Linked DNA regions of Caenorhabditis elegans. The protein of the gene in region 2 interacts with the protein of the main gene of each other region in a pairwise test. Each region holds a gene or a part of one and is shown on either strand. Other genes may lie near its edges.

Region 1 (6,628 bases), on a different chromosome or scaffold from region 2:
CAAGGACAACAGCTATTTTCCCACATGGATTCATTCACCTTTAGCTTTCTTTTCATTCACCAACAATTATTATTCAATCGGAATGGTTCTGGACAAAGCTGACGGACAGATGTTTTTTTTTGTCTCCGCACGGAACGGAGGCGCCAAGGTGACCATTTGGAGGGTGTGATTTATGAGAAAAAAGGAAAATAGAGGACACACTGGGAAAAAGGAACGAATCAAACGAATTCACATTTCACTCGTTTCACTTTCTTTTTAAATTTATCCTTTTCTAGCTCGCGGCAACAGGTTCCGTAACTACATATAATAAGTGGTTATAAAGTTTGGGTTACTGTAGCTCTAAAAAACAAACTATTTTCTTCTCATGATCGGATTTTTCCGGTATTTAAAATTCTAAGAATTCTAGTAGAATAACAGAGGCTACCATCTTGCGATTTTTTATAAGGATAAATGCATTTTTCTCAATAGTTTTTTATCTTTTTTTTTACATTAAATTTTTCCAAGTTTTGTAGGTGCTTTTTACAATGTTAAAATAAATGTTTAAAGGTTGTGTAGCCCCAGTTGGGAAAAGAAACTTCTGAACAGTAACTTCTACTTTTCACCAGCAAATATCTTTAATTGTCCAATGTGGAAACTCTGATTAACATCAAAAGGATACTGTAGTTGGTTGCCACGTCATCATGATCTCAACTGACAACTTGTGCAACTACAAACGTTCTCTTTTCAATACAATATATATATTTGTGCCATTTCCACTCCTCTGACTCATAAACTCATTTACGTGCATACGTCCGGTGAGTGCCACGTCATGGTGAACTGTTGCACATATTGGTTTTTTGTAAGAATATTCATTTTTGACGAGAGCGACGAAATTAATGATAAAAGATGGAGGACCACATGTATTGGTGAACTGAAGAAAAGGTCATTGGATTGACACTTAACGATCTGAGAATGTGGACGTTGTGTTTGTGTTTCGAAAAGATTGAACGATGTACTCAAATTGTAAGAGAAAAAAGATATGTATGAATAACTCATGACATATAAGTTTACTCTTTATTGTATTTTTAGTGTACTGTTGGTTTACTGTAGCTTTTAGGAAAGTTATTAAAATTTACTTGAGAATTATGGCTACTAGGAAAGAGAGCACAAATAGCGCTAAATTTTAATGTTATTGGAGAAACCATTGAGCCAGTGCATTGCTCAGTTTTTAACATTAAGGTAGATTTTGAAAAATCCCAATATAATAAAAATGTTTCAATTTTTCACATAAGGGGTTTTATTTTATATATTCTGGCGAACCAGAAATAGAAAATTGCTTGACTAACGCCTGTAAGGAAATTGTCAAAAACAATGGGATATACAGTGCTAAAATGACCAAATGATATAGTAAAACTTCGTTCCTGTGTATTAATTTAACTAGTACAACGTTTATATTTTAATCAGGATTTTTTTTATCTGTCTTAACATGGTAGTCGTTCGACATTGGTCTAAATTTATAGAAAAATAAAAAACATATCGAAACATTTGGCAATTTACCAAATCTTAAATATTTTGGAGTGTTTCTTTATAATATTTGGTAATACTATGTGTATTCAGACGAAACACAAACTGACGAAGAACATCACCAATTTCTTTTTGCCGGAAATACTATAAAAGCTCTAGGTAATCTAGGCGTTCACACGATTAACAATTCGTACCAAAATTAAAATAAAATAAAATGAAATAAGGCTCTACAGTATGCTCAGACATAAATTAAAAACTTTTCTAAATGCATATCAAGAAATTCCTGACCATAAATAATTTTTTAAAAAAATCAGCTCCTTTAATATATCTAAACTTCTTACATATATCTAAAGTAACTCAATAGTAGTTAAATCTTACCAAAAAAAAGTTAAAAATAATTGAAAACTCTCGCTTACCGTCCGAGTTGATTTTAATCACATCATCCTGATAAACGATTCGAAATCAATATCTTGAACTTTTGTTCCGTTTCGTTTTCAGGACGATGTCATATCTAGATCAACTCAAAATATCATAAGAATAAATAAAGAAAGCAGTAAAGTGATGTAGAATGAAACGAACAAGTGAACGGCCCTTCCCATTCTAAGAGGTCCTTTTATTGGCGCCATGTGTAATAGTGTAATAACTAAGAGACACTGAGAAACAGGTGGATGAGAAAAGGGCGCCGAACCGACTGGCTCCGCCTACTTTTCGGAAGATAATGTGCTCGTGAACGGGGAGTGGGGACGAAAAGGACGGAAGAAGAGAGGAACGGAGGACCAGATGAACGATGATGACTGCCGAATCGAAGGGAACAAAAAGGACAGATTTATATGCGAAGTGGCAGGAAAATTGAGGGGTACGATACAATATGGAAAAAAGCTAAAGAAGAAAAGAAGAAGAAGAAGCAAGGTGACGGGTGGCCAGAAAAAATAGTATGAAAAAAAGAAAATACGAATACCGTATTTCATAAATTGGAGGTAAATAACTATTTAATAGATTTTGTCTGAATGAAACTATAATACTCATAAATGAACAGTATAGCACTTTGAAATGTTTTAGATTTTCAAAAAAAAATTTGGACAAAGTTTCGGTAAATTGCTTTTTCTGAATATATAAATAATTTGAAAATAATTAGAATGGGAAAATTGTAGTTTTATTTTGTAGGGTGATATCCAAATTATGAGTGGCAAAATCTGAATTATCGTCACTTTATTTTTTTCTGCAAACTTTATTGAAAGGTTAGCAATGTACGATACTATATCGTTTTGGCACTTTTCAATATTTTTGGAAGCATTTTAACTTTTATTTCAATGGAATATGAACAATTTAAAAATAAAATTGGAAGAAACCATTTTTTTTTATCAAAAAATGATTGGTGAAAACTGTGTGTTTCAAAATTGTTAATATTCCACTTTTGAATAAGTAACATTTCAAAAAAGTTGATTAGAAAAAATTAAATTGTTACAAAAAAACGACAATTCCAAAAGTTTTGTAAGTTCCTGAAAAACAATTGCAAAATTATTAAGAGCACAAAATGCTGAAATATGCGTTTTTAAATAGTTATGTGTGTCCTTTTGTAACAACTTAATTCAAAATTAATTTTTTAAAGTGTTTGATGTGCAATACTATTATAGAATACCTTCAAGGATGCCGTCATAATAATAAAAGTAACTTTTTTGTGTTACTCAAATATAGGTTACGGTAGCTCCACGGGCATTTTAATGACAACTTACATAAAACTTCTAAACAATAAATTCGAATTATCGATCGGATTTATTTCACTCGACTTCATAAAGTTATAGAAACTAGAAGAATCATTACGACTTTAAAAAATATCCAAACGATTTGTACATATGCAATTGCAATTGTTAAGTATATATCTGATTGAACAGTCAGTTTTTTTTTTCTAATTCTGTGGTATACGTTTCAAAATTGTACATTTCCCCTTTTCATTCCTCCATTTATTGTAATAAATTTGAAAAATGTCTCTTTGTTTCGATTCAGACAAGCTATTTGCAAACCATGGTAACCGTTAACAACGGCAGTAAAATAAGAGGAAAAGTGCGCGGCGGGCTTGCAGAGGGCGTGTAACTCCTCCCCATAATTCGTGCGGGACTCTGCAAAATTGAATTTTCTTGTGCGCATGCGTTCCTTTCGAAGAAATATTTTAACTGGTTTTTACATTTTTCTCCTAATCGAGTTTTAAAATTAGTTGAATTATTCTTTTCTTCCTATTTCAGATATAAATACGTAGATTCTCCATCAGAAATGGGTAGAAAGAAGAAGAAGGTCGATAAACCATGGTGCTGGTGAGTTTTTAAAATAATTGTACTGTTCTTGAAGTTAAACTATTCAATTTAGGTATTGTAACCGAGAATTTGACGATGAAAAGATTCTGATACAACATCAAAAAGCCAAACATTTCAAATGTCATATTTGTCACAAAAAATTGTTCAGTGGTCCAGGATTATCGATTCACTGCATGCAGGTTAATTTTTTTTTGTTCTTGAAAAAAGAAGTCATTCGGTAATCCCACGAATTACAGGTACATAAAGAAACTATAGACAAAATACCGGCAGCTGTACATGGCAGAGATAATATCCACGTTGAAATTTACGGAATGCAAGGAATTCCGTCTGGCGCTTATCGTGGAGCAGCTGACGAAGAACCGGACGAAAAACGATCAAGGATGGACAATGGACCACCTATGCCAACTCCTATGCCTTTCCCACAGCATTTCCCATTTCCTGGAATGCCTCCTATGCCGTCGGGTGCGGAAAACATATTTAAGTTCCATTCTAAAAACGGTTGATTTTTTAGGTCCACCACCACCGTCAATGGCATACGGAATGCCTCCAATGCCATCTGGTATGATGCCACCTCGCGGGATGCCAGGAGCTTATCCTCCGCCACGTGGATACCCTCCAGCGCCAGCTCCTGGCGTGTATATGCCTCCGCCAGGAATGCCTGGTGCATATCCTCCACCACGTATGCCAATAGGTCATGGACCACCTGGTGGCCCACCCATGCCTGGTCCTCCTCAAAGAAGCCGATTTGATCAACCTGACGGCGGAGACAGGTGGGGTCCACCAATGCGAGGAGTACCACGGACGCCACCATATGAAAACGAGCATGGTGAGTTTATGGCATTCGTAAAAGCTTGATTTAGCAAGCTAATAAATTTCAGAACATCAAGATTATCAAGCTCCAGATGACTACAATCAAGGAGGATACGATGATCGGTTTAGAGAAGGTGATCGTGGAGGTCCACCGGGAGGTAGCCGATTTGATCAAGTGAAAGCTGAACTAAAGGAGGAAATCGTCGAGGTATATTCCTTGATTTCAAATAATGGGATTTCGATCGAGCTTTATTGATATTTCATAAAATAAAGTTAAATAAAACTTGTTTTTAATTTTAATATTTTAAGCCTAACAACGGTCCACCAACTACGTCTTCTGGTGCAGCTGCCGCTTCTGCTGCGGCAGTAGTTGCATCTAAACTTGGCTCGAGGACAAGAATAGTCTATCCAGATGATCATTCGCTGTCTCTAGAGGAGCGTCGTGTAAAAATGCTCTTCGAAAAACGCAGCAATCCCTATCACTGAGCACTTCCGAATCTCTTCTTCTTTCATGTCCCGCCCATTTACCTTATATTCTGTGTTTTACTGAAAATTGTCCTCTCGTCCATGTTAAATTATTGAATAATCCATCGATGGGTTTTTATTTTTGAAATTCCAAAAAAAAAAAGCAATTTTTATCAATTGAATAAATTATCACCCACAGTAAAAAAAGATTGAAAATGAAGAAAAAACATCAATATTGGTAAGAAAGAAGTAGATTATGCTCGCAAACTCGGAGAAACATTCGAGTTAAGTGAAAACATGAAATGCTATAAAAATTTGATGATAAAACAGCTGCATAAAGGAATAATAATTTAGAAAGAACGAGTTATAAAATGCAATAAGTAATTTTTAGTAAATATTTAATCTTCATCGACAAACGAAATAGTTCCCGCGTTTTTCATATATCTCTTATACCTTTTGTACCGACCCGATTGAGCCATTTTTTCTTGTTCCGCAGCGTCTCGTTCGGCTTTCCACGTTGCACAGTTTCGTTTCAGCCAGCATTCTCGTTCAAAAAGATCATCAATGTCTTCATCAGTGTACTTCTGAAAATTAAATTATTAACTTTTGATGATAGAAAAAAGTATTTACCTGATCGAATTCCATTTGTGAAACTCCAATGTACTTTCTAATGAGATAAAGCTTGGCGTCATCATCATATTCCTCCTTTTGAATTGCAAATCTCCAATACCAAAGTGCTGTCCATTTAATGTATCGGAATATCGTTAATGGGAAAATAATTGTGTGCCATGCGAGAGTATCGTAGATGGATTCTCGTTTGTAGCCACCCCTAAAATGTAGCTCAAATTATTTTACGAAAAATCTCAAGAATAACTGACGTGACATCAAGATTATCAATAATTATTTGCTTGATAACTTCATCATTGTCAACTCCTTTGTTCTTTTTTAATTTTCCATTCCGATCCATTTCCAGCAACTGAAAGCTAGATATTAATTACAGTGCAAGCTTAAAAATCGACCTACGCCTTTATCAATTCCATCTTTAATTGCCATATTGCGGAATTTTCCAACACCGGTTGCATATTCGATTGCTTCTGAGAACTTGTGTTTTGCAGAGAGGAATTGGAAGAGTGAAATGATAAGAATAGTTCCAACAATGACAATTCGAAGATCTACTTTTGGAGCGGCGCGAAGACGATAATATTGATAGTAATTGTAGAATCTTAAATAAAGAATATTTAAGTGTTCATATTCAGAGCGTCATACCTTTGATCAGGATGATCGAGATAATAGTCGTAATTAGTTTTTGCTTCATCATCCTTAAGTGTTTCATAAGCAGTGGCAATTACTCGGAAACGTTCTTCGGCGAGAAGCTTCTCTTCCTTATTCTTGACTCTATCTGGATGATGCTTCCTAGCCAGAGCTCTATATGCTTTAGCTAGCTTCTGCTTATCGAATTCCTCACGATTGACTTCGAGTACTGTAAATATGAATGCATTTATAGTTTTAACGTTTTCAGATCTTCATGAAAGTTTTGACTC
Region 2 (7,484 bases):
AGGAAAGGCAGTGGACGACAAAACATTCTATCCTTTGATCATCTAATATTTAGGCAAAGTACAATTGGTCTTGCCACCCATTTTCCTTTCTTGCCACCCAATTTTTTCTTATTCTTCAGCCGTTTTTGCTCTTAGTGAAAAAAGCTGAACATCAGTTTTACACGGTAGAATGAATTAACACAAAATATTTGCAGAGTCAAAACATTTGAGCATCTAACCTTTTTCAAGTTGTAATTTTGAGTCAAGTATCATTTATAAAATTTTCTCTCCAATATCTGAGACGACTACACGTCGGAACAAGTAAACAGCAATTTAGCATAGAAAAAGTTGGAAAATAAGAAGATTATAGGCAACGAGTGCGTGGGAAATTTGATGTCAACATGAAATAATAACACGTTTTTATTATCAGTGACCAAATCTCAAATCTTGCTGAAAATGCATCAAATTGAGAGTATTCAATACTAAATACTTACAGAGATTATCTGGGGAAAATGCGACCTGGCTGGCGTTCATCTAACAAAAAGCAAAACACATTGACGTAAAATTTCCAGAAAGATTTCAAAATCACTTGACGTCGGGAAGACTCAAATTAGATGGAATTTTGTTGGAAAAATATTTCTGGCGTTTTTTAAAGGATATATCCATAGGTCATGGCAATACGAATTTGCAAATTTAATTTTCTACGGCAATCAATCTAATCATAAAATTAATTTTCTCTGGTTTAGCCTATTTGGAAAATAGAGTTTTGCGTTGAAATGCAATTAAATGAATTGGTTTTGAATGAGCCGGAACAATCTGTGTATAAGTGTTCGAAATTTATCTATGACTTTGAGAAACTCTTGCGACAATAGAAATAGTTTAAGGAAAAAACTCACATTTCAAAAGGATTCGTTTTTCAAGGCAGTAAAAACAAACTGAATTCATATTTAAAACCAACAAAATGTTCTTGTGTGGACTTTTTTGAAATGCCATGAAGAATGCCATGAAGAAATCACTCAATCAATAATTTATTTTCGTTTTCCTAATTTGTTGAAAGTTTAATTGAAGGGTGAACAAAAATGTTCAAATGCAACTTGGCAATAAGCACACGTGTTAAAAACATTCTATGTCATACATCAAAATGTACTCCCCACTTTATTCAAAACTGCAAAATTTTTTGTGAACTTTCTCCTTGGAAATTGTGTAATCGATACGAAATCTTCCAAATCGTAAAACATGTACATAGAAGACGGTCTGTTAAATGCATTATACATAGTTAAACATACATTTTTCATGTGGTTTCAACGTAAATTTTAAGTCATTTAATAAAATTATCACAATTTACATAAAACATGTGTATGGGCATAACTGATAAAATATTTCAAAAACCGGTAGTCCGAACTGATTTGTTGTTATAAATTTGTAGATCACAATTCGGAGAAAATATGTAATAATGAGAAATGAGCAATTAAAAGTGAGAAACGAGATGTATTCTGGGAAAAATTGACATGGTATAGAGTATTAGAGAAATCAAGAAGGCCACCATTGAGTATTGGTCATGTAGGAAGAAGCTGCTGAAGGTCCGTTTGAAAAATACCCGGAAGTGGCTGGGAGGTAGGCGGAAGGTGTTGGTAGGTATCCTGAATTGGCACTTCCAAATGCTACCGTGTATGGAGATGTTGAGGAAATGTCCGAAGAACGAGCAGAAGAGTCACGGACTAGCATTGGTATCGGCATTCTGTAAATATACAGGTACAATTTAATATTTTAAATTTTGTTTGATATCAACCAACTTTCTCCATGTCACAAAATATAAAAATGAATTGATTTTGAATAAAACTCACGCTCTTGTTGGAAAACTGGCCGCTGTCGATTGACTTGAAAATGCATTGGGCATTGTGGTAAGAAGCGCCGCGTTTATTGGCTTATCCGTATGACTTTTTTTTGTTTTGTATCTAAATTTTTAAAAGTTATAATTGAACATAGAAAAGTCATTATGTAACCACAAATAAATCAAAATTTCATAAAATACTAACCGATGATTTTGGAACCAAATTTTTACTTGAGTCGGAGTAAGTCGAATTTGCATTGCAAGAGCTTCACGTTCAGGCGCGCTCAGATATTTTTGCGAGCGGAATCGTCGTTCAAGTTCATAAGTTTGTGCTTTTGTGAACAAAACGCGACGCTTTCTCTTTTTCCGTTTTCCAGTTCCATCATCTTCTTCGTCATTCTCTTCATCTTCCAGAATTTCATCTTCATCTTCAAGTTTGATTCTGAAAATATACGTTGGAATAAGAATCAAAATTAAATTGAAATTATGAACTCACCCATCTTTATCGCTTTTGTTTCCATTTGATGTATTGCTGTTATCTAGCATATCATTCTCAGAACGTGGAAATTGATCAGGTAGAGTGTACATGGAACCTACAAAATTCAGTTAGGTAGGTTTAACATTTATTTTTCTAATAGGGAAAAAACTTACCAGCAATTCCGTTTGAAGCAAAATATGCAGATGGATCATAGCTGCCGTATGTGCAAGGATCGAAGGAAAATGTGGGAGTAGCAGAATATCCTGAAACTGGGAAAACCCTTGTTTCACTTGCTAATTGCATAATAATTTGTCTGGCTTTAGAATAAAGAAAGGTAGAAGAGGAAAAAGACTCGTGATAGAGAGTCGCGGCGCCAAGAACAGAGAAAAAGCCCCTTTCTGTTTACTTGCATCCATTCATTTCCGATTCTAGGTAAACACGAAATAGCGAATTTAAATAAGAGAATGAGACAGTATACCGTATACAGTATCCCTATATCACCTATATTCAGAAAAGACATACGAATACTGTATAGTGTTCTCACGGGAAGGTGTTGTGTTACTTATTCCCGCATTACATGTTACACAACAATTCGTTATTGGATATTCGAGAAAAGAAGTTCAAATCTACTTACCTGCAAGTAATGGAATGCTATCAGGCCACGTGGAACATTGTAAATTGGTGTCGGTGGGAAGTAGAGTGTCCCATTTAGCTTCGAGTCTGGAAAATGCATAAGTTTGCATGGTGAAATGTGAAGGAGTCGGACAAAAAACAAGCTTTTATATAAGATATGCGGTGTTTTGATTTGCAAAAAGGTACGAGAAGCGGCGATTCAAGAGTTTCAAATAACTTCTCCACCGCCTTTTGAAGTTGCCGAAAATAGTTAAAACTTTATTGTGAAACATTTTCCAAAATGCTTTGATATAAGCGCTTGGTCGAGGAGAGCTGACCATTTTCTAGGTGAATGAATGCATCTTTAAAAAAAGATACGTCGCTTTGTGCGGTTTATTAACTTTTCGTTGATTTTATACTCGTAGAAAACATTTTAAATTTAAGCACAACTGTTATTAATACTGATATTGGAAATTTTCTTTGAAAATGGGGAGAACATGGTTGAAAGTGGATGTTGCATTTTGTCTCAAGGTTAAAGATAGTCAGAACCACGAATCAACAAAACATAACATAACGGATAAAATTGCAACGCTAAAAGGCTTGAATGTCTTATTGTAACACGTCATAGCTATACATAGTAGTTCTTAGGATATTTTCATCCCGTTTCATTGTAGGAAACAATCGGGGAAAATTTGAACACAACGCATCTCAATATCGTTTCCTTATTTTGTGTGTTTAGAAATATACGTTTTTCAATTATTGAATTGGTGAAGGACAATAAAAAAATACTAGAATAAATTTTGCTTTCTGAAAATGTAATATTCGAAATAATTTTAAGCAAGTAAAACTAAATTGTTCGTTTGAATATCATTAGATTTTTGTTTCATAAATATCATTTGTTTGTGGAAATTTCAAAGAAACTGCGTACGATTTGGAATTTTCGCCAAAAAACTTCTTGGAAATAATTGAGTAGAAATGAATAACGCGAATGGAAAAGTTGTGGATATAGAAATGAAACGTCCTGAAATGAACAGATACTAGTGGAGGATGTAATCGAATATATGAGTGGAGGGGGATCTCTTCACATAAAGTGGATCATCTTCAAGACGACAAGCCTCCTCTCCTCTCCGACCTTCTCTCTTCAAAAAACACTTACTTGTTATGAAGTGCCGATTGTGACTGCTGTTGTGGCGCCGCTGATGCACTTGAAGCCGATGAAGCGGCGCCGCCATCTCCAGTTCGAGAAGTGGTATCATTCACTCCGACGCCAACACTTGTAGACAATCCATGTTGCTCCGATGGGCTTGCAACGGATGAAACCGAAGCGATAGAAGGCGTCGCTGCTGCTAGCGCCGACACGTTGAACATCGGCTCTCGAGACTCGAGTGCAATTGACAACCGACCCTCTTGTGCTGATTGCAACACGCCCACCTGTGCTCCCTCTGGCTCGCCAACCCACAAATCGCGGAGAAAGCGAAGACGGTACGGTAGATTTGTATGCTTAGATATCTCTGCGCACTCTTGTAAGCTCAGTATACAATTTCATCTCTTTTGTGACAAATCTCGGAGATGTGAGGATGAGTAGAGTGAAGAGGAATGGAAAGTACAATTTAGTCCTATTTTTTTGAAATTCATTTCTAGTAAAGATTGTGTTATTAAAAAAAAGATCTTCTGAGACTAGTGTAATTAGTTTTATATCGGATACTTAAATATTTCCATCAAGACAAATATATAGATTATGTAAAAACTTTATTACACTTGAAACTATGCCTACTTACTTTTGAAACCAGTACAACATTTTGGCATTCTTTATAAAGACAAGGACCCAATTGCGGAATAGATTTGAATTAGTGGTCATTGTATGCAATTAATGGTTAAAGATAAATCTCATCAAGGCTCCTTTCACAAATTAATAACAATAATCGATTAGGTACCAAAGTCGATATCTTAATACATAACTTTCCATAATAGATCAAATTCTATCTTTTTGCACACGTTATTTATTTGCTGGGGTATGAGCATCTCGGCTAACAATAATCAAGTGTAGTGCTCGAACTATAAGTGGTTCGGCAAATGAGCACCCAATATATTTATGCTCATTTCGTGTTCGCAATGATCCCCCAAACTTTCGCGCACTGGATTTATTCTAGGTTAATGCTCCGAAAGCTTGAACGTAGTTCAGTAACTTTAGGATTCGATTTTGCTCAAAACTTTGCTTTAAATAGTTTTTCTATTAATTTTTACATTTCAGGAAATCAGTCAGAAAATAGTTGCCTGTAAGGCAAATCTATTATCTTGGCTTGAATTTATCTTGCTCTAACGTATTTAAAAAACAAACTCTCATTATGATAGGTTCTAGCGATTTCTGAGTAACCCTTTGAGTAGGTACAAAGCGCATATAGTCGTGCTTAACTATGTAACTGTATCACTTGCTTTGTCTACATTAAGACTATTAATATCACTGAGAGTTTGGCTTAAAAATTTTACATTGAATTCTTTGACTTAATTTGACAATTTTTCAACATAACTTCACTCATATACATATACATTTCCCCGAAAGAAAACTTGTGAACAGTATCACTGTCTCGTATTCACAACTAACCTTAATCCAATTACAAGTATTAGAATCATCTTCTACAAGATTATTGTGTACAGCCGCAAAGGGATGCCGCCGAAAAGTAAACTACCTTATTTGTGGTGTGTACGCGGGAGATGCGTGCGGACGGGCTTCTCTTTGACCTTCCAAAAACTGCTCCCTAATTTGCGCATCATCAATCTTCCTCATCAACAATTTTGGCTTTTGGATCCAAAAATACGGCCGCGTTATCTGTTTGTCCACTTACCGTAATCTTTTTTGCTCAACTTCTTGTTCCTTGCTGATTTGTGTGTGCGTTTCTCCACCTACACACACAAAATGGATTCACAATATCCTCTTCTCTATACTTTTTTACTAAGATTAGGGAACGAACGAACAAAGGTCATGAAAGTTTGTGTGTACATATTAGTTAAAAGAGATTAGTAAAGTATTACTGTTGCGTGTAGGCATCAAATTACTGTATTTCTGCCACCAGGACACATGACAAATAAAAGAGCACACTATTGGCCCACTTCTTATACAATTACCATTTTATTGACACGACATGACCCGTAATACATATAAACCGGATATAAACACTGAAAAGTTGAAAAGACATTTTAGAGTAGCAATATTTTAAAAGTGTGATAATTAAGCCATTGTAGACGCATCTCGTTTTGAAAGTTCATATCCAGAATCTATCATTGACGTCGACCTGAAAATTGAAGTGATTCAATTGAGTTTTAACAGCGAGAAAACATTACGTGGAAGTTGATGGAGAATCAAAATCTTGAGGTAACAAACCACAGACAAGGCGAGCATGTTGAAGATTTTCATCCACGCCAAGTTTTACTTTACGAGCCCTGGAAATGCACAATATTACTTTCAAAGTGGAAAAATCATTGATTGAAATAAATAGCTGGCATGGATATACAGTGGGCAAATGTGATAGCGAGTGTCCAATATATTTTTTGAAATCTTTTAAAGTTTAAACTGCATTTTTGTAAGAGAAGAAATAAGCAAAAAATGTCTGTGAAAGCAGCAGGATTTAGAGTTACACCGAAATTACACAACAACATTTCAAGAAAGCTCATACTCTTCTTCTTTTTAAAAGGTTTTTGGAGTTTTCCAATTCTGAAATATTTTTATACTATTCGGTACAGGAAACATATCTTGGCTGAATAATTTTTTAGGAACTTACTGAATATCTGATAATGAATTCAATCGTCTTGGAGTTAACTGAATTTCTGGATCTTCATCATACTTCTGTTCTTTCTCTAAAAGAGTTCTCAAAGGTGAAGCAAGATTTAATGGACGAGATGGAGGTGGTGGAGGCATTCCTGGTCTTGAAATCAACATCTTTTGTGGTATCCTCACCGTTTCATCTTCATCAAACTGTGTTTACACAATGATATTGATTGAATATATTATTTGAAACCTACATCAAATATAGAATGATTCGATTCACGAATGTAGTATTCATCAATAAATGGTTCTGTTTTGTAATCAAATTTCAGATCTCCAAACGTGAATGACATTACAGAATCTTCATCCGGTGCATGCATTTTATTGGGGAGCAACGTGGACATTGTGGATTGAGATGAGCATGAACCTGTTCAAATATTATTATTGTTTGAGTGATCAAAATCAGTTTTAATAGTTCAAAACTTTAAAGAATATGGAGAAACCTACCAATTCTTGCATGTCTTCCTTTTGGATTTCTTCTTTGGACAACCAATCCACTGAGATCGGTTTGACAAGATACTGTTGCCAGCTCTCTTAACTCGGTTTGTTCTAAAATCTTAGCCAACTTCTTGTTTTCCAAAAACTTTGCAAACATCCTTGAATCAAGATCGTTCTTTTTTGGCTTAAATTTTTCCATTGCCTTTATGCGATCTAGTAGTTGGCCGTAGTTATTTCCAGGCAGAATTTTCGAATTTGAAAGGTTGGAGATATCAGATACTTGAAAATAACAAAAATAAAAGTGAATCAAAAATTGTATAAACTTA

The links. The genes of interacting proteins can lie anywhere in the genome.
Region 1: the proteins of ceh-22 (region 2) and znf-207 interact in a two-hybrid assay, tested with the Caenorhabditis elegans proteins (one large-scale study listed by BioGRID).

What each region holds. Positions count from the first base shown.
Region 1 is NC_003282.8:11,307,229-11,313,856, forward strand, and holds znf-207 (BED-type domain-containing protein), read left to right. Parts: upstream 1-3,743; 5' UTR 3,744-3,771; coding exon 3,772-3,812; intron 3,813-3,864; coding exon 3,865-3,991; intron 3,992-4,048; coding exon 4,049-4,274; intron 4,275-4,323; coding exon 4,324-4,638; intron 4,639-4,690; coding exon 4,691-4,830; coding exon of another isoform or gene 4,831-4,878; exon of another isoform or gene 4,879-4,911; intron 4,912-4,931; coding exon 4,932-5,108; 3' UTR 5,109-5,290; downstream 5,291-6,628. Other genes in the region: DnaJ homolog dnj-2, read right to left, coding at 5,486-5,671, 5,718-5,916, 5,966-6,063, 6,111-6,309, 6,354-6,567.
Region 2 is NC_003283.11:10,669,418-10,676,901, reverse strand, and holds ceh-22 (Homeobox domain-containing protein), read right to left. Parts: upstream 4,269-7,484; coding exon 4,057-4,268; exon of another isoform or gene 3,979-4,056; intron 3,922-3,978; coding exon 3,829-3,921; intron 3,032-3,828; coding exon of another isoform or gene 3,009-3,031; coding exon 2,923-3,008; intron 2,671-2,922; exon of another isoform or gene 2,592-2,670; coding exon of another isoform or gene 2,558-2,591; coding exon 2,462-2,557; intron 2,404-2,461; coding exon 2,307-2,403; intron 2,253-2,306; coding exon 2,016-2,252; intron 1,935-2,015; coding exon 1,824-1,934; intron 1,718-1,823; coding exon 1,510-1,717; downstream 1-1,509. Other genes in the region: twk-12 (TWiK family of potassium channels protein 12), read right to left, coding at 6,127-6,190, 6,240-6,338, 6,677-6,870, 6,918-7,087, 7,168-7,437. UniProt on the Caenorhabditis elegans protein: Involved in combinatorial activation of gene expression in pharyngeal muscle. Specifically binds a site necessary for activity of the B subelement of myo-2 enhancer.